Anolis sagrei: one gene and its partner. The protein of the gene in region 1 purifies or fractionates together with the protein of each later gene. This does not show direct contact. Links are inferred from orthologs where the notes say so. Each region holds a gene or a part of one and is shown on either strand. Other genes may lie near its edges. The genes, in order: CAMLG and TNFRSF13B.

Region 1 (14,976 bases):
GCTAATCAATACAACGCAGATGTTAGCAGACACAGTAGGGATGAAGTCTGAATCATCATACCCAGCTCTTCAGTTACAGCTTTATAAGAAGAAATGCTGCAATTTCTTTGAATATTCATGTATTTTAATAGTTAAAGGGGGGCCCTGGTGGTGCAATGGGTTAAATCGCTGAGCTGCTGAACTTGCTGACTTGGAAGGTTTGAATCCGGGGAGCAGTTTGAATCCGGGGAGCAGGGTGAGCTCCCGCTGTTAGCCCCAGCTTCTGCCAACCTAGCAGTTCCAAACCATGCAAATGTGAGATTAACAGCGCTCAATACAGTCATACCAGCCACATGACCTAGGCATCTACAGACAACACCGGCTCTTCAGCTTAGAAATGGAGATGAGCACCACCCTCCAGAGTTGGACACATCTAGACTTAATGTCAGGGGAAACCTTTACTTTTACTTAACAGTTAAAATCGTTTTCTAGTATATAAAATTAAAGTACTACAAGCTGAAATTCTTTCAAGAGGAAACTACCAATCATGAGGATACATTGATAGGGAGTAACCTGTGCAAACAATAGTATTTATTTATTTATTTGAAGCATTTATATACCACTTTTCTCACCCCTAGGGGGACTCAAAGTGGTTTAGTATATACATTGAAAGGAACAAGAACTTTATTTTTATTGCTAATCAGGGTATGACTTCCAGCCCATTTGTACTTTATACACAGTCTGGCAGCCAGACTGCCAGTTATTCAGATGTGAGTATATTTAAATACAAATTTAATCTGTATATTTTTAAGGGGGCCCTTAACATCAGTGACAGAACAATACCTCAACCACCCATTCTTCAGCTGTCTGTGGAGAAGATAAATAGAGATGGTGCTTATCTTATGGATGCTGGCTCTGTAAGTTACCTGTTTTCAGTGTTGATAATGTATGTAAAATGTAAATGTATTACATTATTCTTTCTCATGGGTGTCTTTTGTCAGAGAATAGTTGAGATGAGAGTGAAATGCACAGGCTAATGTTTTCTAATCATCCATGTCCATTAGGTCATGTTTTTATGGATTGGAAAGAATTGTGGGCAGAACTTCATCAACTGTGTCCTTGGAGTTCCCAACTATGCATCAATACCACACAATATGGTGAGAATATACATAGACCTATGACTCTAAAATGATGAAAAAATTGCCATATCACAGTGAAAGTGCTAGTTGTTTCCCAACTTAGAGAAAAAAAGCTTCAAATATATAGCAACAACTGCAGGGTTTTGCATGACTGGTGTACATCATGCATGGCATTACTCATTCTGGTTCTGATCTTTAAATGCTTTTTATGAGTCTATAATAATCATCATCATCTTTATTTATACCCTGCCACCATCTCCCCAATGGGGACTCGGAGCAGCTTACACGAGGCCAAGCCCAGATAACAATTACAATAAAGAAAAACCAAAACACAGACCGAAAATGCGAACAATAACATTATATTAATATAAAACACATGCATACATAACAATGTAAAAAATTACAATAAGCACAGGCACAATAACAATAGTATCTTCCAGTAAAGGTTTACCATTAGGTAAACCAGCAGTTGTTTCGCATGGTTTTGGTGTTCAAGTATGCACATAGCTTATTACTAATGTGGATTGAAAAAAGGGGGCAGTTCTTGAAGTGAACTTCACTTCCGGCCATCCAGTCTCCTTGTTCTCTAGCAGCATTGTGGCGATTTAGGAGGATGTTTTTCTATTGTGAGTAGGCTTGAGGAACAATTGAAGGAATTCTGAGGGTGTGTAGCACAACACATCTAAATGTATAAAAGAACAATAGCAGTGTAGTAGCAGAAGAAATGCAATTGGAAAAGAGTTTTGTCCCTTTTCACTCCCTGATCCCAAATGGACGAAGGGCATAAATCTTGCAGGTTCAAGGAGATGAATGTAAATCAGTGTTGTAGTGCTGCTCCATGCACTGAATATTTATTTATTTATTTATTATTTGCAATATTTGTATACCGCTTTTCTCATACCGAGGGGGACTCAAAGCGGTTTACAAGTAATATACAATACAATAAATAAAATAAATACAATATCTTCTTGGATCTCTCTCTTTACTCTGGTCCCAGAGCAGCACTTGGTGTTGGGGGGAGGGGCTCCCAACTGAACATACATCTATAATATAATTTCATTTTACTCTCAACAGACACATCTTCCAGAACTTGACACAGCTGAATCTTCTAGAGTGCTTGCTTTTATCTCATGGCTGAGGGAGCAAAGGCCATTCTTTTCTATATTGTACATACTAAGGTAAGCCCCATTTTGGACTATTCAGCATGCAGATTGAGAAAACGTTGCAGTGCTGCCTCCCAACTTAGTTGCAGACTTCTCGTGCTTTATGGTACAGAGTATGTATACAAATGTATTAGTTACAAGAAAGGGGGCAGTGTAGCAGGACTGAATATTTGATGGCTTATAAAGATGGAGAAAGAGATGATCCAGTGCTTAAGAACCAATTTACTAGTACTAAGTAGTACACATGACATTCTTGCATAGACAGGATTTTGATTTTATTATTGGAAGTTATTTTTCTGTATGCTGCTCAGTTGCACATATGGAGATGTCCCTGATGTTGGTGTGAATAAAGAGAATTCCATATATGCATCAGGTTATGTTCAAAGAGCTGTCTTATTACAGTTTCTCTCTTTGCAGATTAAATACTACATAAACTAGCATTGTTACAAAAATTGTAAAGTGAACTTAGAATCGTGTAACTGGTAGGAATTCATGGTTATGCTTGTTAACATTTGAACCTGACCTCAAAATCCATTTTCAGCTTGGCAGCACCACAAACAAGGGGTTTCTAAGGCACTGCGAATTGTATTGCTGGGAGATGACACCTGAAGCTCTTTCCCAATTTTGGGGTACCTTGAGACAAGCAAGATCCTGAGAGGTCACTCCAGATGCCTGTTTTTGATCTGCCTTGTGAGAAGAAGAGTGCTGCAGATGGCATTTCCCAATGCACTCATTTGCAGTGCCTCAACCTTTCAAGCTGATGCTCCGCTGTTCTGAAAGGGTTGGGCTTTGTCAAACATCATTATGATGGCAGAATCCATCACTGTTTACATATGATGATGCATCACCTTGGCCATTGATATGCATTTTGACAGATCCTACATCTTTGAAATACTGTATGAGGAATGAATAATTAAACATTGATGTTCTGCATTCTCATACTCTCTTTTGATTTTATTTTGAAGGGATGAAAGTCCATGGAAACCAAGTTTTCTCCAAAACATGATCGAAGACAGAACAGAATCTGCTTTATCATACTATGAGTTCCTTTTGCATATTCAGCAACAAGTGAATAAATGAACCCTGCTGTGATATGGCTCATCCAGTCAAAGGAGAATAATTGTGTGCAGAACACTTGCATTCATGATGCTCCTAAAAAGATTTTGGTCTGATGCAGTTGACAAGAATCTCACTGTGATTTCCCCCCAAAATAATAAAAAAGGCAAAGCAAATAAAGGACCACAGAATCATAAGTATACTATTGTGCAGTTGTACATTAAACAATTAAAATCATTTTGGATATGTTGGATGCCTTTAATTTGCTACACAATGTTTCATCGTAAGCTTTGGCATGAGTGATAAAGGTAATATTGAAAAGATGAAACTTTATAATGTTTTTGTTCAAAATATGTTTTAACTTTATTTTTGTTTTTCTGCTTTGTTTTGCTGCTAGAATAACAACCTCCCAGAACTGAATTGCAGGGAAATGATACTGTCTTGAATATATGTCAGTAGTTGAAAACTGCCTTTTTAAAGGAGCAATGAAAGCATTTGTTGTGAAAGAGAGAAAGTATTTAGAATTTTTTTAACAAAACTTTTTAACAATGATTATGATGAGCGGGGGGAAACAAACTTACAGTGGTCCAACAAGATTAAAAATCAACATTAAACTATTCATTTTAAAATCTATAGAATGCATCGGTGTTCTAGTATCTAAAAGAACAATAAGTTTTCATTACGTCCAATGAGATTTATAATCAAGTGGCCTGATTCAGTTTCAAAAATTATAAATGTGGATGTTAACATGGTGTCTTTAATCTTGATTCATTGAAAGTAAATAGGGGAACAGAGATTTCAACCAAAATGCCATGGCCATTTTATAGGTTTGATTAAATTTAAAGTCACATGTTCATAATGTGTTAATATTTTTAGTAAAAGAATGTTTACTGATGAAACTAAACAATATTTCACAGTTTACTAGAAACACTATCAAATAACTTGTTGGAAATCCAAAGCGGCATCTAATTAAATAGTAGGAATTTTGACATTTAAAGGTTAGGAGGGAACTATTTTGTGACTTTAATGGAGAAAGTTTTGAAAAAATCCTACTTCATGGGCAAAAATTATAGATTTTGCTTATTTATAAGCACATAGCATAAATGTTAGTTTTATTCATACCCTGAAATCTAATGAGAGTTAAATCATGACAAATACTATTAGTACATTTAGAACATCTGAATAAGTAACTTGCGGTAGCAACATCTTTCTTCAGTGCTGTAACTTGTGACTGCCATAGTTATCTTCTTTGACCCTTACTGCTCAAAAATAGAGTTTGGGAAAGATTACTTCATTCACATCTTTTTTGGACATTCCTTCTGTTAAACTAGGAGTGATTAACTAAAGTCTCCCCACTTATAGAAATAGGTACATACATGTACAAAAGGTCACCGAGGTTCTCTGAACAAACAACCATGTTGATAAACCAATATTTTGAATAATAACGCCTTGACAATACTCAAAACATTTCCTTCTAATTTATCCGGGCTGGTCTATGCAAAACTGCTTATGGAGTTGCGACTCTTATGTTACGGAGGGGAGGGGGAATCTCTCTTGAAAAAGGATTAAAATATCTGTTGAACTCTACTAAACTGAAGTATTTTCTTGCTGCTGCCATGCTTTTTAAGGCTCTATTTTAGTTATTTAATGTGAAGTATTGATAATCCGCTTTGGGAGCATATGCATAATGGAGAATCATCCACTGGGTGCCTCACAATACATCCTAAGCCTGAATAGTAATGTTCTAACACAGTCCTAGCAATCTTCCAAGAGTCATATACTCAAAGATACAGACTTCCGTGCCTAGATTACTTTTTTCATTCAGATATAGTGTCTACATAAAAGTGATGCTGTGCATCCTACACTTTTCATTGGATATGTGCTTTCTGCACAGACACAATGCTGAAACTACCAATAGTGCTGTCAGGTTTGAGAAGGGTTTATTCTGGAGGGGATGGAGTGGGCACTCTCATATGAAGTTCTATGTCCAACTTTCTCCCATCTGCAGACATTTTTAGTTTGGAATGGGGTAGACATGGCTTAACTTCTTGAAAGCCAGTGTATTGGGCTTTAAAGAACCAAATCTACTGAAGAGATAACTAAGAAATATGTTTCAAGAATACAGCCCTTACCACAGTCTCCTAGAGGGATTCTTCAACAATAATTGCATCTTATCTGAATCAAATGCTTTTTGGAATATTCATACTCGTTTTTGCAGTACTGAATTTTTTGATTTTATTCCTTTACAATAGGGAACACAATTGCTTTTACTTACATTTTAATAACAGCAATTGCAAGGCATATTTATGTGTCAAACTGCCTATGATGTACTTTAAATTAGTTGATTTTAATGTCTCTAACAGCTATCCTAGGCAAGAGTGGCCCTGATACATCCATTTTTGCATGGAGCACCACAGCAAATGTTCTCTATTTTTCTAACTCAATATTTTTAAAGAATAACTCAAGATGATCAAGATGTTCAATCAGTCAAGCATCAGCATTTTAATTAGTACTTACTTTTTTATTTAATTATTTGCATCTGACTCAAGTTTGACTGTTTTGCAATAATGAGGATACAATGTCCTTTTATTCAGAATTCACGTAACAGAATATAGAATCTGATCCAGAATGTTAAGGGACCATCAAATGTGACAAAACTTCTGTTTGTGAGTGAACAATTAAATCCTTCCAATTTGATTTTGTAAAGTAGTGTAAGATACTGTAATATTAATCCTTGTTTTCTGAACTCCGACATTGATTTTCAGTGTGAAAATGTAAACCATGCTCTTCTGAACTGGAGGCAAGGTTTTACTTGTTCCCCTTTTTACAGTTTGTAATTTTCACTGTTTTATTCCTGTAAAAAGTCATTTGTAACACATGCAAATGCTTATTTTAGCTGTGCTAATTTATCAAATTTGGCTACTCAATAAAATTATTGAAAGAGCTTACATAAACTTTATTAGTCCTTTTTATACATAAAAAAGCTGGAAGCTGCAGAGAATCTGAATATGGTCTTAGGCACGGTAAGGAGTGGGTCTGTGAATGATCAAATTAACAACCTGCCAGATTTATATTGTATATTACTGCATTTTTTGTCTTTGGAAACAGTTTAAAATTTACCAGTTTTTCTAATATTGTAGAAAGCCTCACTGAATTCCACAAGATTTACTTCTGAAATATAGAGGTATAAAGGTATATACAGTAGATGTATCTGGTTATTAAAATCAAACTCTGATGCTGAACTGCAGATATTTCCCAAGATCATACAAAACAGCCTTTGACTTTGTGAATTAAAACAAGAATTATCTATTTGAATAACTGGTACTCATGGGGATTGGAAGGTGCAGGGTAAATAGTACCTGGTTGCTTGAGAATCCCTGTTAAAAATAGGCCTAACTACATACTATACCAGGCATGGGCAAACTTGGGGCCTCCAGGTGTTTTGGACTTCAATTCAGACAATTCCTAACAGCCTCAGGCTCTTTCCTTTTCCCTCTCAGCCATTTAAGCTACAAATGCTAGGTTTCCATAGTATCGAGCCATGGCAGCTAATGTGATGTCAAACTGCATTAATTCTAGAGTGTGGGTGTACCCTCAGTCCTATGAGGAGTCATCACTTGCTTCATTGGTGGATGTAGTTGAAAGAATCAGTTATTATTATTTATCGTGTCAGAAGCAACCAGACATTTGTATTACATTTTTAACAAAACAGACAAAACACAAAGTTTGCAAGCAAGAATCAGTTGTGATCCCTTTATTCATTGTTTAACATATACAGCTAGTAGGGACTTAGGCTGGGCTATCTGAGAGTTGAACTCCAAAACACCTGGAGAACCAAAGGTTGGGAACCACTGCATGGGAATCATGCTGCAAGTGCCCTTTGTGTACGCTATGAAAGGGGGTTTTGGAGCCTGGAGAAACCACTGAAACACTTTTTGGGTCTCTCTAGGATGGTGATGGAACCAATAGAAGCACCACCTCCCCTCTTAAAAAAAGGTCTGTAAGGGGTCTACTGGCAAGTATGTGCCACTAAAAGGGTATGGGCTTCTGAGAAATGAGAACCCTCTCTGTCCCCAGGTTAAAGCTCTGAAAGGAGATTCTGTTATCTTAAATTACAGAAAAATCTTTTTCTGTATTGCCCAAATAATGCCCTCCTAATATTTTTGTAATCATGTGATGTACTCCACACTTGGAATATTGTGTCCAATTCTGGGCACCATAACTGAAGAGCAATATTGACAAGCTGGAATGTGCCCAGAGGAGGGCGACTAAAATGATCAAGGGTCTGGAGAACAAGCCCTATGAGGAGCAGCTTAAAGAGCTGGGCATGTTTAGCCTGAAGAAGAGAAGGCTGAGAGGAGACATGATGCTGTTGTTGTTCATTCGTTCAGTCGTCTCTGACTCTTCGTGACTTCATGGACCAGCCCATGCCAGAGCTCCGTCGGCCGTCACCACCCCCAGCTCCTTCAAGGTCAGTCCAGTCACTTCAAGGATGCCATCCATCCATCTTGCCCTTGGTCGGCCCCTCTTCCTTTTGCCTTCCACTTTCCCCAGCATAATTGTCTTCTCTAGGCTTTGCTGTCTCCTCATGATGTGGCCAAAATACTTCAACTTTGTCTCTAGTATCCTTCCCTCCAGTGAGCAGTCGGGCTTTATTTCCTGGAGGATGGAGACATGATAGCCATGTATAAATATGTGAGAGGAAGTCACAGGGAGGAAGGAGCAAGCTTGTTTTCTGGAGACAAGGACACAGAACAATGGCTTCAGACTACAAGAAAGGAGATTCCATCTGAACATGAGGAAGAACTTCCTGACTGTGAGAGCCGTTCAGCAGTGGAACTCTCTGCCCTGGAGTGTGGTGGAGGCTCCTTTGGAAGCTTTTAAACAGAGGCTGGGTGGCCATCTGTCAGGGGTGCTTTGAATGCAATATTCCTGCTTTTTGGCAGGGGGTTGGGCTGGATGGCCCATGAGGACTCTTCCAACTCTATGATTCTACTGTCAATACCTGGCAATAAGCAGCCAGACCTTGAAGCTGCTAGGCCATTCAATGCTAATCAAAGTGGCCAATTGCAACATTCACACTTTCCTCAAGCAGACAAGAGTTCCTCCTCCCACCCTGAGCAATCCAGAGATATAAAAATCTCACTTGCCTAGTTTCCAACAAACCTCACAATCTCTGAGGATGCATGCCATAGATGTGGGCGAAAAGTCAGGAAAGAATGCTTCTGGAACATGACCGTACAGCCCGGAAAACTTACAGCAACCCATTGACGTTGCTTTGGGTTTTTGTTTTTTTTTGATGGCTCAACGTACACGAGGATTGTTTCATGTTCAAAATTATTAAAAATTGTATATAAAAAACTGCCTCCAGGCGATGCCTATAAGGTGTATATGAAACAAATGTGTGGAGCTGGGTCCCATCCCCAAGATCTATCATTGCGTGTGTATTCCAAAAGCCACGGCACTTCTGGTCCCAAGGTTGTTGAATAATACAACCTCGGCGTGTATTTGTAAGCAGTTCAAGATACAGAGCGGCCCACCACCTCTGCGTCACTCCAATGGACAGCGCCGCTTGGAGACCACTGTGACCACGCCCCCTCTCGCAGGTGAAGTCATCGCCCGCTGCCGTCTCACCTCTTGCGGCAACTCCCTCCCTCGCTTAGACGCGCCCTCCCAGCGAGGTCACTCCTGCCATCGTTGTTAAGGGCGCTCTCTTGCCGGCAGCGGGCTGAGGTCTCGAGCCGACTCCCAGGCCCCAAAGGGCTCCTGCCCTCACCCAAGATGTCGCCGCTCGCTTCCCGCTCTGGAGGCGGAACTTGAAATGGCGGCCGGGGGCGCATGCGCACTGGCGAGCGAGTGTCAGCGCGAGGCCTGGCGAGTCCTATTGTGTGCCTGAGGAGGAGAGGCCTGAGGCGCCGTGCTGCGGGCGAGGATGGAGCCGGGCCCTCTGGGCGGCGACGGGGGAAGCCCCAACCACGACGCGGCCGGCACAGCCGCCTCCTCCTCCTCCTCGGCCGCGGGGCTCACGGCCTCCCAGCGCCGGGCCGAGATCCGCCGGAGGAAGCTGCTCATGAACTCGGAGGAGCGGATCAACCGGATCATGGGCTTCCACCGCCCGAAAGGAGGTGAGGAAAGGGCGGGACCCGGGCAGGCCGGGGGGGGGGGTGAGCGTTGCCAAGGTAACAGGGCCCTGCCGCGACTCTGGCCCCGCTTGGGAGCGCCTTCGCCCTCCTTCCCAGCCAGGCCTGGCGTACAGCGAGCGGACTCTCAGTTAACAGGCACCCATGGGGATTGGAAAGTGCAGGGTATCTGGTTGTATTGTCGAAGGCTTTCATGGCTGGAATCACTGGGTTGTTGTAGGTTTTTCGGACTGTATGGCCATGTTCTAGAAGCATTCTCTTCTGACGTTTGGCCTGCCTCTATAGCAAGCATCCTCAGAGGTTGTGAGGATGCTTGCCATAGATGCAGGGGAAACGTCAGGAGAGAATGCTTCAAGAACATGGCCATATAGCCCGAAAAACCCACAACAACCTAGTCTGTGGTTGCTTGAAAGTCCCTGTTTAAATAGGTCTAACTACATACTATGCTAGGCATGGGCAGACTTGGGGCCTCCAGGTGTTTTGGACTTCAACTCCAACACTTCTTAACAGCCTCAGTTCTCACAACCTCTGAGTGTGACTGCCATAGATAGATGCAGGGGAAACGTCAGGAGAGAATGCTTCTAGAACATGGCCATATAACCCGAAATACCTACAACAACCCAATCTGTGGTTGCTTGAGAGTCCCTGTTAAAATAGGTCTAACTACATACTATAACAGGCATGGGTAGACTTGGGGCCTCCAGGTGTTTTGGACTGCAACTCCAACACTTCTTAACAGCCTCAGTTCTCACAAACTGAGTATGACTGCCATAGATAGATGCAGGCAAAACATCAGGAGAGAATGCTTCTAGAGCATGGCCATACAGCCTGAAAAAACTACAACAGTCTCAGGCCCCTTCCTTTTCTCCCTCAGCCATTTAAGCTACCAATCCCAGGTTTCCATAGTATCCAGCTGTAGCAGCTAAAGTGATGTCAAACTGCATTAATTCTAGAGTGTGGGTGTACCCTCAGTCCCATGAGGACTTATCACTTGCTTCATCCATAGCTGGATGTAGTTGAAAGGATCAGTTGTGATCCCTTTATTCATAGATTCACATATAACAGCTAGTAGGGACTCAGAGTGCCTACTGGTCGATTGATAACCACTCAAACCAGATACATACTACGGATCATAAAGTAGTCCTAGTAGATAGGATGGTGCTTAATGAACAAATGTGTGCACAAAGTATACAGAAACTAGCATAACCTGAAGACTAACAAAAAAAAGCCTTTATTGAAAACCGTTTTCAAGTTGTTTTGTTAAGCTTTTGCAACCTAAAAAGCAGGCCAGGCTTGTGGCAGGGGGAGGAATAAATTACTCTTACTATCCTACTCTCTCCTTTTTATTTAGAACAGGCATTTAGGTTTTCAGGGACCTGTTGCCACTTTTCCTGTGGGCATCACTAGTAGCTATTTTACCTTCCCAAAAAACCCAATAGGCAAAAGATGCTAGACTGGTGCTTGATTGCAGTCTTCTTGAAAGTGCCAAGTTCCCCTAGTAAAGTAGAGTTCTGTTCAGTAGTGCAGCGTTGCCCAATCTAATGTAGTTACACTTTCTGAAGGTAATAGGATTTACAGTCTAATTTCTCTGAAGGGCATTAGTTTGAAGGAAGATGTTGTAGTGTAATTTGAGAAATAGCAACATGTGTTGTTCAAAGAACATTGTGGTTGCATTACTTCCCCTCTAATTTCATCTGCCTAATTTAGGTGTTCCTGTAATTTGTGTATTCCCATAAATCTGGCTTAATTGTTTGTTTGTTTGTTTTTTTGGTGTTACAATGCAGTGTTATTTCAACGGTCCCTCGTTATTTTTCCCAAGGAAGTTCACAAAAACATTGATTAGGGCAAGTTAAAAATGCAGTTTTAAATAGGCAGTAAGAAAATTAAACCAGCAATACAATACAAGTAGTATGACCAGGTTTGTAAAATATTCACTGAATGTGTGGGCCTTGGGTTCTTTCAAAAGCTGTAAAGGAAGTGCTGTTATTTCCTTTGATAAGAAGCATTTTGATAGCCTCAGGTTTACAAGGGCAAAGACTCCAGAATTTTTATTTCTTCAAGCAAGAATGTCTCCAAGTGGAGATCTTGCAGAAACAGGGAAGTTCGAATTCCCTGCTCTGTGTTCAGTGCCAAGTGCCACACCCAACTTTCTTAGAAATTTCCCTGATCCATTGATACAGATTTTCAAGGGACTGCCAAGGGAGGATGAGTCAGCAAATATCCTTTTTCTCTCCACTGGCAGAAAAGCTTTGCTGGCTGAAAGACAATCTTACGTTGGAAAGAAGTATTACTGGAATGCTTCTTACTACCTTTCTGAAAGTGCTTAAAGGCCAAGAGATAGACGTCAATTCAGTGTGCCATTCTTATTTGAGCCTTAGTCCCACAGCACCTTCATTTCTTAGGATTTAAAGCCCAGCCTAAAATATTTGACCTGTATTGTGTGTCCTTTTTCCATTTTGTCTCTTCTTCAGATGAAGACAGCCATTCAGAATCTAAACTTCAGCTTGAATCAGAAAAACCAAGCCCTCTACCAGCTCCTGTTTCCAAGCGGATTGTGCTTGGGGATACTGTCTGCAGCTTGGCAGGAACAGCCGACCATGCAGGCAGCATAGTGGAGAAAAAGGACGCATTTAACAAACCTCCCGAGGCTGGTAATGATGGCACAAGTGAGCTCCGGCAGCGCAGCAGGGGGGATCTGATAGAGGCTCCTCAACGAGCCCCTCGCCATGGTTTAGACCAGTACTTGTCAAGATTTGATGAAGCCATGAAGCTCAGAAACCAGCTCATGAGTGAGAAGCCGAGCCAAGAAAATGGAAATGCAGTGGAAGAATTTGACTCTTTCCGCATTTTTAGATTAGTTGGATGTGCACTACTTGCCATTGGAGTTAGAGCTTTTGTGTGCAAATATCTGGTAAGCAGAAAAAATACAGTATTTTTAATATTTCCCCTTCTTACTTGTTTGTCTTACTGTCATCTTTATAGAACATTCTGTGTATTTACGCTGAGAAGTGATTTCATAGCTAAGTGAAGATTAGAATTCAGTCCAGTTTGTCCACTCTTCCACAGCTGCATGCTCTAAATGGTAGTTCTTAAGGATAATACTAAAGTGTGTGGCTTAGAGTATCTTGTGTCAAAGTATCACCGATTCCTTCAAGGCCTCCAAGCGTTGCCAGATAGCAAAAGAGTCAGAATACATGACGTTTTTTAAAAAGCCTTGGCCTAGAATGTGTATTGGCTGAACTCCTTCACACAAAGACAGATTTTTAAAAGGTATTAATCAGTTTAACTCCTCATTGTAACTACTGTACTTTCTAATTCATGTAATATTTTTTTCCACAGTCAATATTTGCTCCCTTTCTTACCTTACAACTTGCATATATGGGATTGTCCAAGTATTTCCCAAAGGTAAGAACTTTTTCAGGACAAAAATATTCTCAATTTGACTAAAATGGCAGCAAAGAATTCCTGTTCTAGAATATTTTTAGATTAATAAACAGTGTATTAGCCAATAACATTAGAGCTTTCCAGTTAGTACTCTATATATTTGTTGGGGAGTAAATCCCATTGGGAGTTTATTTCTGCTGTGTAATAAAATATAAGTTGTTAGAGGTGCTCATGCTTAGATGTCAACAATCATACCCCATTTTGCTTTGTTACAGTAATTGTTTCTGCCTTCTTTGAACTTTTGGTGCTTCTGCACAGACACTGTAGTGCAGTCTGAGGCTGGCTTGATGGTGGGATGTCCACAAAAATGCTATAGCATGAATCAAGCCAGAAACAACATGTTAGAAAAACTCATCAGAAAGTTCAGAATAAGCCAGAGGATGCATGGCAGCTGATGAGATCCCATTCAGGACCTGAAACAGGGGTGATTCTGAACAGATGTGGATATGTGCATCAGCACATCTCAGCAGACCGGTTAAGAGGGAAAAAACCTACGTTTTTCAATGGCTGTCTAGCCACAGATACTGCAATTCCTGGGGTCAGTTCCAACCCAATAATCTCTGACTATTGTTGCTGCCATCCCAGCCTCAAACCGGTTCCTGGGGTGTTTGTGTAGGCACTGCACAGCAAAATTAATTTGTTTAAATCCATTGGATCATAGTGTCTGTGCAGAACTGGCCTTAGACCATAGATTGGAAACTTCCAGGGTCAAAGGGCCTGCACAACCTCCAGTATATTTCACACTGTGCTGAAATTTGGTGGTGCCATGGCAAAAAGAATGTTTTTCTTTAAAGCAAGATGTCGGGTGGTTTATAGCTGGATCTTACTCCCAGGAGACTTAAGTTACTTTTGAAAGAAGGATAGGAGCATGAAGAGACTAGGAGCATGAAGGCCCATCATAGGTTAAATTTAATGCCAAGATTATAATAAATAGCATAGTATAAGGGATCTGTTATAGTTTAAGTTATTGCTTGCCTATTGAGACATGCATACCAGGAACAGACATTCTGTAAACACATTAAATGTCTAATAATGTGCTTAAAGATGAAATATGGACATAATCTTTCTTCCTTCCCCCCTCCCCTTCTTTGTTATACAGAGTGAAAAGAAGACGAAGACTACAGTTTTAACAGCTGCTCTTTTACTCTCTGGTATCCCTGCAGAAGTTATTAGTCGTTCCATGGACACTTACAGCAAAATGGGGGATGTTTTTACTGACCTTTGTGTCTATTTCTTTACCTTCATCTTCTGCCATGAACTGCTCCTGTTTTTCGGTTCAGAAGTGCCCTGATGGATGTGGACGTCGGTGTGGTGTCTTCAACAGGACTGCATCAATCTTGGTTTTTGTACATGTCTCTGGATATATAAACAGGGTTATCCCATTCATACTTGTTTCTGTGCTTTGGAAGCACACTTCTGAAGGGAAGGGCATGGTCCCAGCACTGATGCAGAATTACTATAGTTTGAAAAACAGTGCACGATGTCTTAGTTACAGAATACAAATAGCATTCCAAGTGCAGGGCCTTTCTGTTATTCTAGAATATTGTCCTTTTACCCTATTCAAGGTACCGTCTTCTATTGTAACATTTCCTCTGGCTCTTTAGTATAAAAACCGTGGATAGCTGAGGTCTTGTGCTTGTCAGAATGACATGTCTTATGACCTGGCTGCTGTTGCAAAAAGGATGAAGAACATTTTGACCCACTCTCCTTTCCCTCTGTGCTCTCTGAAAGGTCTCCTGTGGGGTGGGGGAACCTTTTGGAACACCATAAAAGGGCTATGGGGAGATTCAGGGCAAAGAGGAAATCAGTGAAAATGGCCTCCTTTCCAAATCCCTGCAGGATCTTGGTTCCTTCTGAGAAAGGAAGCAGACTTAATATTCATGTAAAGCATGCTCTGATTCTATCCAGAGGAATTTCTGAGGGACTACTCATGCTGTTAAATTGCTGTAAACATCTCCATACATTTTTAGCCATTAAACGATTCTGACAAAAAGTCAGTTCTCAAGCTGCCTGTTACTGCAACAGAATTAAGCTTGGCGTAGGTTATGTGTTTGT
Region 2 (15,407 bases), on another chromosome or scaffold:
TGTGCCTTCCAATGAAGCAGCTAAACATCAGGAAGTGAAGAATAGGGCTGTGCGAAGCTTCGGAAGTCCATCCGTTTCATAATTCGGAGATTTGTACGATCCGTTAACACAAATCTCTGAATTACGAATCGGAATGGGACCCCTTCTGTACAAGCCTCCGAAACATTTCAGAGAGTTTAGTCAAGATTCGTTGTTTTGGAGCGTTTCAAGCTGTAATAATTTTTTTATTGAGAAATCACTTGATAAACGAAACTTTCTGAAACTTTGCAGGATTGATGCGCTTCTTATCTTGTTTCTTGTAGTTTTGCTAAAAAAAATAGTTGTGAATATTTCCTTAAAATATTTCCTAAAAATCAGTGGAGGACCACGACGTTCCGAAACTTGGCAGGCTGAAAGTTGTAAATGTTGCCTACATGTGTGCCAAGTTGTATCCTGACAACCATAAATATGACAGAGAAACTAGGCTCAAAATTTTCCCTATTGTCACTAATGGATCAAGTCCATTGGTGCAGTTTGGAATGCTCTTTGACGTTATTTTCTGTTGGTCATGGGGGTTCTGTGTGGGAAGTTTGGCCCAATTCCATCATTGGTGGAGTTCAGAATGCTCTTTGATTGTAAGTGAACTATAAATCCCAGCAACTACAACTCCCAAATGACAAAATCAATCGCCCCCCAACCCCACCAGTATTCAAATTTGGGTGTATCAGGTATTTGAGCCAAATTTCGTTCAGTGAATGAAAATACACCCTGTATATCGGATATTTACATTACTATTCATAACCGTAGCAAAATGATAGTTCTGAAGTAGCAACGAAAATAATGTTATGGTTGGGGGTCACCACAACATGAGGAACGGTATGTAAGGGGTCCCTAGTGGCACCCCGATTTTGGATTGCCTTTCCCATGAAGATGGGTACCAGCTCTGGATTCTTCCAAGTGCTCAATGTTCTCTCCCTAATTGAGTGACATATCAAGGAGAAGTTAGCCAATGGGTTTGATACTCAATGGAATGTGGTCTGGAAACCTCCGTCACTGGATACTTAATCAAGGGGTCATCTGCATACCCATGTTGTGGGAGTCCAAGTCCAAAAGACCTGGAGGGAAGGCCGAAGTTGGTTCACACGTTTGTCCTCTTGAGACTGGATACATAAGTCAACCAAGAGATCCTCTGCATACCCATGTTGTGGGAATCTGAGTCCAAAAGACCTAGAGGGAAGGCTGAAGTTGGTCCATGCCTTTGTCCTCTTGAGACTGGATACTTAAGTCAACCAAGGGGTCTTCTGTATACCCATGTTGTGGGAATCCAAGACCAAAATACCTGGAGGAAAGGTTGAAGTTGGCCCACGCCTTTGTCCTCTTGGGACTGGATACTTAAGTCAACCAATGGATCATCCAAAAGACCTGGAGGTAAGGCCGAAGTTGGCCCATGCCTTTGTCCTCTTGAGACTGGATACTTAAGTCATCCAAGGGATCTTCTGCATACCCATGTTGTGGGAATCTGAGTCCAAAACACCTGGAGGGAAGGCCGAAGTTGGTCCATGCCTTTGTCTTCTTGGGACTGGATACTTAAGTCAACCAAGGGATCATCTGCATACCCATGTTGTGGGAATCCAAGACCAAAAGACCTGGAGGAAAGGCTGAAGTTGGCCCATGCCTTTGTCTTCTTGGGACTGGATACTTAAGTCAACCAAGAGATCATCTGCATACCCATGTTGTGGGAATCTAAGTCCAAAAGACCTGGAAGAAAGACCAAAGTTGGCCCATGCCTTTGTCATCTTGAGACTGGATACTTAAGTCAACCAAGGGATCATCTACATACCCATGTTGTGGGAATCTGAGTCCAAAAGACCTGGAGGGAAGGCCGAAGTTGGCCCATGCCTTTGTCCTCTTGGGACTGGATACATAAGTCGACCAAGGGGTCATCTACAGAACCATGTTATGGGAATCTGAGTCCAAAAGACCTGGAGGGAAGGTCAAAGTTGGCCCACGCCTTTGTCCTCTTGGGACTGGATACTTAAGTCAACCAAGAGATTATCTGCATACCCATGTTGTGGGAATCTGAGTCCAAAAGACCTGGAAGAAAGACCAAAGTTGGCCCATGCCTTTGTCCTCTTGGGACTGGATACTTAAGTCAACCAAGAGATCATCTGCATACTTGAACATGACCCCCCCCCTCCCCCAATAAAAGATAGTAACTTATAGTTTTGCGAAGGACAAGGACACCAGACTGGATAATAAGGGTTAATTTGCCAAGACACTAACAACAACAACAAAGACCCTTCCCATGTTAGATACTGTGTACATTTAATCAAGGTTTTATGCCCTAGGTTTCATATATAGCAGAAGGTAACACATTAATTACTGAGAAACCACCTCCCTTTACACTTATGTACTCTCTTGAACTTCTATGGGACTCTGGGGGGTGGGATAAGTGGGTATGTTTTCTGCACCATGATTTCTATATTTCTCCCTGTAAAATGTATAAAAATATGAGAAGCCACCCTCTGTGACTCTGGAAAGGAGGAAATCCTCAGTTGAAAAGAACCTGATCAAAAGACACTTTTTGCATGGACAATAACAATGGATCGTGACCCTTGGGACTCGGAGTTGGCCCCCCCCAGTGGAGGCGGTAGCTTGGCATTGATGATCATATCTCAATAGGACAAAAGGGGCCTTCGGAAAGCCACACTTGGTCCTGATCTGTTATTCATTTAAATCTTCCTCTACCGAAACTTCAGCCATATTTCCTCATTGTTCCCATATCTCAGCACCAAAAAATCCAGATCTGGCAGCCTTGCCAGACATCAACGTTTATTGCCACCAATCAAAGACAATAGACTGGCCGGCTAGAAGGCCCCTGGACTTGCTAACCGCTTGGATATTCCATATCTCCATAAGCCCTTCAAGGATTCATTGTTTCCCTCTCGTCCCGCCTCCCTCTCTCCTGATTGGTCAGGAAGCCGAGGCGGCAGAAGCCCAGTGATTGGCCCAGGCGCTCAGGCGCTTAAGTCAACCAAGGGATCATCTGCATACCCATGTTGTGGGAATCTGAGTCCAAAAGACCTGGAGGGAAGGCCAAAGTTGGCCCATGCCTTTGTCCTCTTGAGACTGGATACTTAAGTCAACCAAGGGATCAACTGCATTCACACAATCGGTGAATGACAGCCAGTGTGATGCAATGTCTGGAACCATGACTTTGGAGACCAGGGTTTGCATCCCTGCTCAGCCACATAGTGATCCTGGGTGAGTCACACTCTCTCAGCCTTCAAGCAAGTCAATAGCAAAGCCTCTTCTGAACCAATTGTGCCAAGGAAACCCCAGGAGAAGTTCAGCTTAGGTCAGAAGATGACTTGAAGGCACAACAACAATCATGTGTTGCAAGGTGATACAGAAGAGAAACCTTCTTGGGGTTGGAGCGCTACATTTTCCACTCTCTCGTGGAACTTTCCACATGTTGTTTTTCTAGGGGGGGGGGGTTCTATTAGTAGTTGCAGGTGGCCTCAGGTTGAGGACCGGACGCAGGTGGAGGCTCGGAGCTGGGCGGACGGAGCACTGGACCCTTGCATTCCCAGTCATATCCCGTCCTCAACCCATTTTCCTCTAGACCAGTGTTTCTCAACCTTCCTCATGCTGCGACCCCTTAATACAGTTCCTCATGTTGTGGTGACCCCCAACCATCAAATTATTTTCGTTGCTACTTCATAATTGTAATTTTACTACTGTTATGAAACATAATGTAAATATCTGATCTGCAGGATGTATTTTCATTCACAGGACTAAACTTGGCACAAATACCCAATACACCCAAATTTGACTACTGGCAGGGTTGGAGGGGTTGATTTTGTCATTTGGGAATTGTAGTTGCAGAGATTTATAGTTCACCTACAATCAAATAGCATTCTGAACTCCGCCAATGATGAAATTGAACCAAACTTGGCACACAGAATTCCCATGACCAACGGAAAATACTGGAAGGATTTGATGGGCACTGACCTTGAGTTTGGGAGTTGTAGTTCACCTACCTCCAGAAACTCAAACAATGATGGATCTGGACCTAACTTGGCATGAATATTTAATATGTCCAAATGTAAACACTAGTGGAGTTTGGGGAAAATACACCTTGACATTTGGGAGTTGTAGTTACTGGGATTTATAGTTCACCTCCAATCAAAGAGCATTCTGAACCCCACAATGACAGAATTGGGGCAAACTTCCCACACAGAACCCCCATGACCAACAGAAAATACGTAAGGCCACCCAGTCCAATCCCTTCACCAGGGCAAAAAAACAGAAATGAATATCATGAAGCTTCATAGAATCATAGAATCAGAATCATAGAATCAGCACAAGGTGATTGGTTGGGCCATGCCTGAGAGGCTAGCTGAGCCTGGGAGTTTTGGCAACAGTTACATAGAATCCTAGAGTTGGAAGAGACCTCCTGGGCCATCCAGTCCAACCCCATTCTGCCAAGAAGCAGGAATATTGCATTCAAATCACCCCTGACAGATGGCCATCCAGCCTCTGCTTAAAAGCTTCCAAAGAAGGAGCCTCCACCACACTCACTCCGGGGCAGAGAGTTCCACTGCTGAACGGCTCTCACAGTCAGGAAGTTCTTCCTCATGTTCAGATGGAATCTCCTTTCTCCAAGAAGCAGGAAAATCACACTCAAAACCCCCCCGTCAGGTGGCCATCCAGCCTCTGTTAGGATTGGTTCTCTGTTCCTATATGGCTCTTCCCCTATTTGGATTTCTGTTGGGATTTATAGTTCACCTACAATCAAATAGCATTCTGAACTCCGCCAATGATGAAATTGAACCAAACTTGGCACACAGAACTCCCATGACCAACAGAAAATGCTGTTTTCTGATGGTCTTTGGCGACCCCTCTGACACCCCCTCGCGACCCCCACAGGGGTCCCGACCCCCAGGTTGAGAAACACTGCTCTAGAGAGATAGGAGGCCTCACCTTGGTATTATTATTATACTGACACAAAAACACAGTATGACGCAGCTAATGAGATCTATATATTGGATTTCGTTATTATTATTATTATTATTATTATTATTATTTCTTTCCTGCCTCAACTCACAGAAAGAACAGGTGGCTGGAAGTGGCATTTTGAACAAAAACAACAAGCAATTGCAAGATTCGCTCCCCGGCTCAATGGAAACCATTCACAGTTGCTCCATAGCAGCTATCTCAAGCCTATTATTATTATTATTATTATTATTATTATTATTATTATTGCATTTTATTGGCATTGATCTCATGTACATTTTGTTATATGCATTTTACTAGTGTTGTGTTGTATTTATTTTAACTTTATTTTACTTTAACTGCGTCTCGAGTTGCAAGGAGAGGCAAGTAACAAGTTGTTGTTGTTATTGTTGTTATATGATACACAACAAGATCAGTACACAGCAAACAAGATCACGAAGCTGGCTGTTATTTATTTATTTATTTATTTATTTATTCCCATTGACTGGAAAGGTAAGACCCAGAAGCTTTAGCTGGAGAACAGCCTGATCCTTCTTCTTTCCTTTTCTCCCCTTTCTCTTTCCCTTTCCTTCCTTCCCTTCTTTCCCTTTCTTTCTTTCTTTCTTTCTTTTTCTTCTTCCCTTCTTCTTCCCCTTTCCTCCCCTCCCCTTCTTTCCCTTCCCTTCCCTTCTTTCCCTTTCTTTCTTTCTTTCTTTCTTTCTTTCTTTCTTTCTCTTCTTCCCTTCTTCTTTCCCTTTCCTCCCCTCCCCTTCCCTCCCCTTCCCTCCCCTTCTTTCCCTTCTTTCCCTTCCTTCCTTCCTTCCTTCCTTCCTTCCTTCCTTCCTTCCTTCCTTCCTTCCTTTTTCCCTTTCTTTTCCTTCCCTTTCCTTCCTTCCCTTCTTTCCCTTTCTTTCTTTCTTTCTTTCTTTCTTTCTTTCTTTCTCTTCTTCCCTTCTTCTTTCCCTTTCCTCCCCTCCCCTTCTTTCCCTTCCTTATTTATTTATTTATTTTATTTATTTAGTACACTTGTATACCGCTAATATCTCAGCCTGTGCGGCGACTCATTGCGGTTTACAACATATTTAAAAATACAATATTCACTTTAAAAATATAAAATAAAATATAAAAATACATACATATACATACATAGTATTGGGCCACCAATACAGACCGGAACATCTCATAGTTAAAGTCGTAATCCAATTCGTTATCCTTGATTGCTAGTCCATGATCAAAACATCATCACATCGGAATTAGTTAAAAACTTGCTCGAACATCCAAGTTTTCAGTTTTTTCCGAAATGCCATTAGCGAGGTGGCTGATCTTATTTCAGTAGGGAGGGCATTCCAAAGCCGGGGGGCCACCACAGAAAAGGCCCTATCTCTCGTTCCCGCAAGCCGCACTTGTGAAGCAGGCGGGATGGAGAGAAGGGCTTCTCCTGAAGATCTTAGGGTCCTGGTGGGCTGATAGGCCGAGATACGTTCGGATAGGTATGTAGGGCCAGAACCGTTTAGGGCTTTAAAGGTCAAAGCCAGCACTTTGAATTGGGCTCGGTAGCTAATCGGTAGCCAGTGGAGCTGGTACAGCAGAGGAGTTGTATGCTCCCTGCGCCCTGCTCCTGTTAATACCATGGCTGCCGCCCGTTGGACTAATTGGAGCTTCCGGGCCGTCTTCAAAGGCAACCCCACGTAGAGAGCGTTGCAGTAATCAAGGCGGGATGTAACCAGAGCGTGGACTACCTTCCTTCCTTCCTTCCTTCCTTCCTTCCTTCCTTCCTTCCTTCCTTCCTTCCTTCCTTCCTTTTTCCCTTCTCCCTTTCTTTTCCTTCCCTTTCCTTCCTTCCCTCCTTTCCCTTTCTTTCTTTTTCTTCTTCCCTTCTTTCCCTTTCCTCCCCTCCCCTTCCCTCCCCTCCCCTTCCTTCCTTCCTTCCTTCCTTCCTTTTTCCCTTCTCCCTTTCTTTTCCTTCCCTTTCCTTCCTTCCCTTCCTTCCCTTTCTTTCTTTCTTTCTTTCTTTCTTTCTTTCTTTCTTTCTTTCTTCCTTCCTTCCTTCCTTCCTTCCTTCCTTCCTTCCTTCCTTCCTTCCTTCCTTTCTTTTTCCTTTCTTCCTTCCTTTCCCTTAATTCCCTTTCTTTCCTTCTTTCCTTTTCCCTTCTTCCTTTCCTTCCTTCCCTCCCTTTCCTTCTTTCCCTTTCTTTCTTCTTTCTTTTTCTTTCTTTCTTCCTTCCTTTCTTTTTCCTTTCTTCCTTCCTTTCACTGAATTCCCTTTCTTTCCTTCTTTCTTTTTCCCTTCTTCCTTTCCTTCCCTCCCTCCCTCCCTCCCTTCCCCTCCCTCCCTCCATCCCTCTCTTTCTTTCTTTCTTTCTTTCTTTCTTTCTTTCTTTCTTTCTTTCTTTCTCCCTTCTTTCCTTTCCTTTCATTCCCTTCCCTTCTCTCCCTTCTTTCCCTTTCTTTCTTTTTCTTTTCCCCTTCTTCTTTCCCTTCCCTTCTTTCTTTCCCTTTCTTTCTTTCTTTCTTTCTTTCTTTCTTTCACCCTTCCCTTAATTCCCTTCTTTTGCTTTCTTTCTTTTTCCCTTCTTCCTTCCCTTCCCTTTCTTTCTTTCTTTCTTTCTTTCTTTCTTTCTCTTTTTCTTTTCTCTTCTTCCTTCCCTTCCTTTCTTCCTTTCTTCCTTTCTTCCTTTCTTCCTTTCTTCCTTTCTTCCTTTCTTCCTTCCTTCCTTCCTTCCTTCCTTTTCCCTTTCTTCCTTCCCTTCCCATCCCTTCTTTCCCTTCCCTTCTTCCTTCCCTTCTTTCCCTTCCTTCCTTCCTTTCTGGTAGGCAGTTAGGAATGGTGGGAGTTGAAGTCCAAAACACCTGGAGGGCCCAAGTTGGCCTGTGCCGGCCATATATTCATTCATTCATTCATTCATTCATTCATTCATTCATTCACTATATTTCTATACTGCCATTCTCAGCCCGAGGGCGACTCATGGCGGTTTCGATGCCCACAATACTGTTGTTGTCGTCGTTGTCGTTGTCATCATCATCATCTTCTTCTTCTTCTTCTTCTCCTCCTCCTCCTCCTTCTTCTCCTCTTTCCTCCTTCTTCTCCTCCTCCTTCTCCTTCTCCTCCTCCTCCTTCTCCTCCTCCTCCTTCTTCTCCTCCTCCTCCTCCTTCTCCTCCTCCTTCTCCTCCTCCTTCTCCTCCTTCTCCTTCTCCTTCTCCTTCTCCTCCTCCTTCTTCTCCTTCTCCTTCTCCTCCTCCTCCTCCTTCTTCTCCTCCTCCTTCTTCTCCTCCTCCTCCTCCTTCTCCTCCTCCTTCTCCTCCTTCTCCTCCTTCTCCTTCTCCTCCTCCTTCTTCTCCTTCTCCTTCTCCTTCTCCTTCTCCTTCTTCCATGGCAAGGGTGGTCTCATTCCAACGGCGTATTCCTCTGCTCTTCTTTTCTCTTTCTGCAGGCCTTCCTTCCCAGGTCTCCCCGATGGGTCTCCAAGGGCGCACGCCATGTCCGAAGGGGCAGTTCTGGGACGCTCTCCTGGAGCGGTGCATGCCCTGCGGCCTCGCCTGCCACACGCGCAAGTTCCAAGGATGCGCCGACTTCTGCAGTGAGTGTCCGGGAAAGGTTTGCCAGGGTGCCAGTTGCTTCTGACCGACATCCAACTAGACCCAAAGCGGTGCCGCAGCCAAGGAAGTCGAGCGAATTGTCGCTTCGTTGAGGTTCTCCCAGGATAGAGCGTGATGTTGCAGAGGGCCACTTCACCTAGGTTCTCCCAGGAGGGACTTGGCTCTGGGTTTCCTCTGCTCTGCTCAGAGAAGAGGATGGTGCTCCTCTAGATATATACAAGTCAAGGATTGGCTGTCTGTCTGTCTGTTTGTACCACCAAGGCTGCTGCTAGGTGGAGTGGCCCTCTCTGATGCCACTGAAGTGGCTGTTGCAAGGTAGAGTGGCCCTTTGCAATGTCATAGGAGTAGTTGTTCCTAGATGGAGTGGCCCTCTCTATGATGTCACTTAAGTGACTATTGCTAGGGGAAGTGGCCCTCTGGGGTGTCATTGGAGTGGCTGTTGCTTAGGTGGAGTGGCCTTCTGTGGTGTCACTGGAGTGACTGTTTCTAGGTGAAGTAGCCCTCTGGGGTGTCACTGGAGTGGCTGTTGCTTAGGTGGAGTGGCCATCTGTGGTGTCACTTGAGTGGCTGTAGCTAGGTGGAGTGGCCCTTTGTGGTGTCACTGGAGTGGCTGTGGCTCGGTGGAGTGGCCCTTTGTGGTGTCACTGGAGTGACTGTAGCTAGGTGGAGTGGCCCTTTGTGGTGTCACTGGAGTGACTGTAGCTAGGTGAAGTAGCCCTCTGTGGTGTCACTGGAGTGACTGTTTCTAGGTGAAGTAGCCCTCTGGGGTGTCACTGGAGTGGCTGTTGCTTAGGTGGAGTGGCCATCTGTGGTGTCACTTGAGTGGCTGTAGCTAGGTGGAGTGGCCCTTTGTGGTGTCACTGGAGTGACTGTAGCTAGGTGGAGTGGCCCTTTGTGGTGTCACTGGAGTGACTGTTTCTAGGTGAAGTAGCCCTCTGTGGTGTCACTGGAGTGACTGTTTCTAGGTGAAGTAGCCCTCTGGGGTGTCACTGGAGTGGATGTTGCGTAGGTGAAGTAGCCTTTGTGATGTCACTGGAGTGGCTGTTGCTAGGTGGAGTGGCCCTTTGTGGTGTCACTGGAGTGGCTGTTGCTAGGTGAAGTAGCCTTCTGTGATGCCACTGGAGTGGCTGTTGCTATGTGGAGTGGTCCTCTGCAACATCACGGAAGTGGCTGTTGCTAGGTGAGATGGCCCCTGTGGTGTCACTGGAGTGGCTGTGGCTCGGTGGAGTGGCCCTCTGTGGTGTCACTGGAGTGACTGTTTCTAGGTGAAGTGACCCTCTGTGATGCCACTGGAGTGGCTGTTGCTATGTGGAGTGGTCCTCTGCAACATCATGGAAGTGGCTGTTGCTAGGTGAGATGGCCCTCTGTCCTGCCACTGGGGTGACTGCTATTAGGTGAATTGGCCATCAGTCATGTCATTGGAGTGGCTATTGTTAGATGAGGTGGCCATCTGTCATGCCACTGGGTGAAGTGGCCCTCTGTCATGTCACTGGAGTGGCTGTTACTGGGTGAAGTGGCCCTCTGTCATGCTGCTGGAGTAGCTGCTCTAGGTGACGTGCCCCCTGTCGTACGACTGGGTTGGTTGCTGCTGGGTGAAGTGGCCCTCTGTGATGTCACTGTGGCCCTCTGTCATGCCACTGGGGTGGCTGTTACTGGGTGAAGTGGCCCTGTGTCATGTCACTGGAGTGGCTGTTACTGGGTGAAGTGGCCCTGTGTCATGTCACTGGAGTGGCTGTTACTGGGTGAAGTGGCCCTCTGTCATGCCACTGGAGTAGCTGCTCTAGGTGACGTGACCCCGTGTCATATGACTGGGTTGGCTGCTGCTGGGTGAGGTGGCCCTCTGTGATGTCACTGTGGCCCTCTGACATGTCACTGGGGTGGCTGTTACTGGGTGAAGTGGCCCTGTGTCATGTCACTGGAGTGGCTGTTACTGGGTGAAGTGGCCCTGTGTCATGTCACTGGGGTGGCTGTTACTGGGTGAAGTGGCCCTGTGTCATGTCACTGGAGTGGCTGTTACTGGGTGAAGTGGCCCTGTGTCATGTCACTGGGGTGGCTGTTACTGGGTGAAGTGGCCCTGTGTCATGTCACTGGAGTGGCTGTTACTGGGTGAAGTGGCCCTGTGTCATGTCACTGGGGTGGCTGTTACTGGGTGAAGTGGCCCTGTGTCATGTCACTGGAGTGGCTGTTACTGGGTGAAGTGGCCCTGTGTCATGTCACTGGAGTGGCTGTTACTGGGTGAAGTGGCCCTGTGTCATGTCACTGGGGTGGCTGTTACTGGGTGAAGTGGCCCTGTGTCATGTCACTGGAGTGGCTGTTACTGGGTGAAGTGGCCCTGTGTCATGTCACTGGGGTGGCTGTTACTGGGTGAAGTGGCCCTGTGTCATGTCACTGGGGTGGCTGTTACTGGGTGAAGTGGCCCTGTGTCATGTCACTGGGGTGGCTGTTACTGGGTGAAGTGGCCCTGTGTCATGTCACTGGAGTGGCTGTTACTGGGTGAAGTGGCCCTGTGTCATGTCACTGGGGTGGCTGTTACTGGGTGAAGTGGCCCTGTGTCATGTCACTGGGGTGGCTGTTACTGGGTGAAGTGGCCCTGTGTCATGTCACTGGGGTGGCTGTTACTGGGTGAAGTGGCCCTGTGTCATGTTACTGGAGTGGCTGTTACTGGGTGAAGTGGCCCTGTGTCATGTCACTGGGGTGGCTGTTACTGGGTGAAGTGGCCCTGTGTCATGTCACTGGAGTGGCTGTTACTGGGTGAAGTGGCCCTGTGTCATGTCACTGGAGTGGCTGTTACTGGGTGAAGTGGCCCTGTGTCATGTCACTGGAGTGGCTGTTACTGGGTGAAGTGGCCCTGTGTCATGTCACTGGAGTGGCTGTTACTGGGTGAAGTGGCCCTGTGTCATGTCACTGGAGTGGCTGTTACTGGGTGAAGTGGCCCTGTGTCATGTCACTGGGGTGGCTGTTACTGGGTGAAGTGGCCCTGTGTCATGTCACTGGAGTGGCTGTTACTGGGTGAAGTGGCCCTGTGTCATGTCACTGGAGTGGCTGTTACTGGGTGAAGTGGCCCTCTGTCATGTCACTGGAGTGGCTGTTACTGGGTGAAGTGGCCCTCTGTCATGCCACTGGAGTGGCTGTTACTGGGTGAAGTGGCCCTGTGTCATGTCACTGGAGTGGCTGTTACTGGGTGAAGTGGCCCTGTGTCATGTCACTGGAGTGGCTGTTACTGGGTGAAGTGGCCCTGTGTCATGTCACTGGGGTGGCTGTTACTGGGTGAAGTGGCCCTGTGTCATGTCACTGGGGTGGCTGTTACTGGGTGAAGTGGCCCTGTGTCATGTCACTGGAGTGGCTGTTACTGGGTGAAGTGGCCCTGTGTCATGCCACTGGGGTGGCTGTTACTGGGTGAAGTGGCCCTGTGTCATGTCACTGGAGTGGCTGTTACTGGGTGAAGTGGCCCTGTGTCATGTCACTGGGGTGGCTGTTACTGGGTGAAGTGGCCCTGTGTCATGTCACTGGGGTGGCTGTTACTGGGTGAAGTGGCCCTGTGTCATGTCACTGGGGTGGCTGTTACTGGGTGAAGTGGCCCTGTGTCATGTCACTGGGGTGGCTGTTACTGGGTGAAGTGGCCCTGTGTCATGTCACTGGGGTGGCTGTTACTGGGTGAAGTGGCCCTGTGTCATGTCACTGGGGTGGCTGTTACTGGGTGAAGTGGCCCTGTGTCATGCCACTGGAGTGGCTGTTACTGGGTGAAGTGGCCTCCGTGATATCACCGGAATGGCTACTGGGCAAAGTGGCCATCTGTGATGTTGCTGGAGTCACTCTTGCTAGGTGAAGTGGCCACTTGTGATATCAATGGGAAAGAACGTTGACCTGTGTATGGGAGGAAGGGAAGAAGGAAGGAAAGAGACACGAGGAGAGCCATGGAGACATTGCGAGGTCTCGAGAGCTGGAGAAGGGAGGAAAGAGGGGAAGGAAAGAAAGAAAGAGAAAAAGGAGGAAGAGAAAGAAATGGAGAAGGAAGAGAAAGGAAAAGAAGAGAAAGAAAGAAGAGTAGGGAGGGAGAAGTAAGGAAAAGGAGGGAAGGAAGAATGAGAAAGAAGAGATGAAAGCAGGCATGGGCCAACTTTGGTCCTCCAGGTGTTTTGGACTCCAACTCCCACCATTCCTGGCCTCAGGCCCCTTCCTTTCCCCCCTCAGCCGCTTAAGCGGCTGAGGGGGGAAAGGAAGGGGCCTGAGGCCAGGAATGGTGGGAGTTGGAGTCCAAAACACCCAAAGGGCTGAAGGTAGTAGCTTGCAATGGCACAAACAAGCCAGGCCGGATGGCCATCGGATGCTCCAAGATACGATGAATGAAACTCGAGAAACTCAAGGATGCTGCTGTTCCCATGGCTACGTGGACTCTGTAACCACTGAGCTGCCGTCGAGTCCAAATGCCCTAAATTGAGCCTCTAGGGAACGAGAACGCTGACTCCTCTTTCCTTCCTCCTTCTCTTGATTTGAGTCCAACCCCACTTGTCTTTCTTTTCTAACTCCAGGCTCCATGGATTGCAGCAAGCGTCCGGGCTTCTACTACGACAAGCTCCTTCGAGGCTGCATCGATTGCTCCGGCGTTTGCGGGCAGCACCCCAAAGAGTGCGACCCATTCTGCCAAGGGGATCGGAACTCGCTCGGCATTCACCAAGTTGCAAAGCAGGGTGCGTCTCGATTCTCCAATAGGAAATACATGGGTTCCTCTGAGCATGGACAGAGAGCTTTTTGCATATCGCAAAGCAACTCTAGCATGGGAAGGGTAGTTAGGCCAGGCACAATTCTTCTAGGTCGTGCCCTTTTGCCAGGTTGCCTTTGGATCTGCCCACTCTGCTTCTGAGTCTATTCATGGACTTCCACCTTGACCATTCATGGTTTGGCCCTTGAGGAAGACCCTCATGGAGGACCATCCCATTGGGATTTCCGGGTTTAGCTGCCCAGAGGGATATTCTTACTCTTGCTGGAGGAACATTAAGAGGAGTGGTGGTTCTCATGAAGCTTTCCCTTGATTTAAGTCTACTGAGAAGGGGCTGATAGCCATGCAGTGAGTGGCTTTCACAGAGTTCATAATTGGATGATAGATGGGTGATGATTCCAGAGATCAGGCTTCGATCTCCTTCTCATCCATGGAAACCCATTGGACGGTCGTGGGTGAATCAAACACCCACCTCCACAGAATTCCGCAATAGGTTTTGCTTTAGGGTCAGGGGCGGCTCGTCCATTACGGGAAAAGGAAGTTTTTTGGTTCAGTCTTACAGTTTGGAAGCTCAGTTACAAGATGTAAGGTTTACTTGGGTACCCAAAAAGCAAATTGGAACTGGGAGTAAGGCCCCACGCCAGCCAGCCTAAAGACAGATTGCCCAGGGAAGGGTTGGAGGGTTTTCCTTGTAAAAGAAAGAAATAGTTCACAATTTCTTAACTTGAGGGCAAGTTAAGAATTTGTGTGTTTTGTTGAAGATTTAAGGAATAACAAAGAACTTTGTTAAACTTTCCAAGTTTCTAAAGACTTTGTTTAGGAAAATCCATAGGGCCTCTCAGCCGAGGCCCTCCGGCGTCCCGCTGGGCACAAAGAGCACATTCTGTTTTAAAAGACAATTGCTATTGCGTGTCAGCACAAGGCTGGTAAAGTGCAACTGCGGAGCAATAAATAAATGCCCCTCTGCTCTCTTTCTTCCGTCCCACCCTCAGATGCTCCTGCGACCTCCATGCCAGAGCCGTCCGCTCTGCAGGGTCCCCAGTGCCAGCTGTTTCCCATATGTGACCCGGGGATGTTCGTCTACATCGGCCTTGGGCTCTGCCTTTGCACGCTGCTCTTTGTGCTCTTGATGTGGGTTTACTTCCGAAAGCGAGGAGAGGAGGCGACTTGTCAAGCCGGCCCTGAGGCTCGCCACAAAAAGGGGGAACACCCAAAAGGTAAATAATATGCACTCAAGCTTTAGCACAGGTTCCAGAAATGGGGTTTAATTCCTCTCCGCTGTCTTTCGCTCAGCGCATGGCAGCGTGGTGCACATGTGCAGGCGAGGGAGAGCATGCAAGGCTGGAGGGAGGCTCTTACCATCGAGTCGCTTCAAAGCATGGGGTTTCTGTGAGGGAAGTTTGGCCCAATTCTATAATTGGTGAGGTTCAGAATACTCTTTGATTTTAGGTGGAACTACAACTTCCAACCTCAAGGTCAATGCCCACCAAACCCTTCCAATATTTTCTGTTGGTCATGGGAGTTCTGTGTGCCAAGTTTGGTTCAATTCCATCATTGGTGGAGTTCAGAATGCTCTTTGATTGTAGGTGAACTATAAATCCCAGCAACTACAACTCCCAAACGTCAGGGTCTGTTTTCCCCAAACTCCAACAGTGTTCACCTTTGGGCATATTGAATATTTGTGCCAAGTTTAGTCCAGTTCTATAATTGGCGAGGTTCAGAATACTTTTTGATTTTACATGGACTATAAATCCCAGCAACTACAACTCCCAAACGTCAGGGTCTGTTTTCCCCAAACTCCACCAGTGTTCACCTTTGGGCATATTGAATATTCGTGCCAAGTTTGGCCCAATTCTATAATTGGTGAGGTTCAGAATACTCTTTGATTGTAGGTGAACTATAAATCCCAGCAACTACAACTCCCAAATGTCAGGGTCTGTTTTCCCCAAACTCCACCAGTGTTCACATTTGGGCATATTGAGTATTCATGCCAAATTTGGTCCAGATCTATCATTGTTTGATTCCACAGTGCTCTCTGGATGCAGGCGAACTACAACTCCCAAACTAAAGGTCAATGCCCAACAAACCCTTCCAGTACTTTCTGTGGGTTATGGG

Evidence for each region.
Region 2: the proteins of CAMLG (region 1) and TNFRSF13B purify together in Homo sapiens (affinity purification with western blotting; 3 studies listed by BioGRID and IntAct, with this or other methods). This does not show direct contact. The link is inferred for Anolis sagrei from reciprocal best matches to the Homo sapiens genes CAMLG and TNFRSF13B.

Annotation. Positions count from the first base shown.
Region 1 is NC_090022.1:91,482,682-91,497,657, reverse strand, and holds the start of CAMLG (guided entry of tail-anchored proteins factor CAMLG), read left to right. Parts: upstream 1-9,185; 5' UTR 9,186-9,269; coding exon 9,270-9,462; intron 9,463-11,948; coding exon 11,949-12,388; intron 12,389-12,816; coding exon 12,817-12,882; intron 12,883-14,020; coding exon 14,021-14,212; 3' UTR 14,213-14,976. Other genes in the region: protein transport protein Sec24A, read left to right, coding at 792-896, 1,044-1,136, 2,193-2,296, 3,247-3,361. UniProt on the Homo sapiens protein: Required for the post-translational delivery of tail-anchored (TA) proteins to the endoplasmic reticulum.
Region 2 is NC_090035.1:3,301,033-3,316,439, forward strand, and holds the start of TNFRSF13B (tumor necrosis factor receptor superfamily member 13B), read left to right. Parts: upstream 1-8,415; 5' UTR 8,416-8,432; coding exon 8,433-8,556; intron 8,557-13,104; coding exon 13,105-13,263; intron 13,264-14,284; coding exon 14,285-14,509; intron 14,510-15,407. UniProt on the Homo sapiens protein: Receptor for TNFSF13/APRIL and TNFSF13B/TALL1/BAFF/BLYS that binds both ligands with similar high affinity. Mediates calcineurin-dependent activation of NF-AT, as well as activation of NF-kappa-B and AP-1.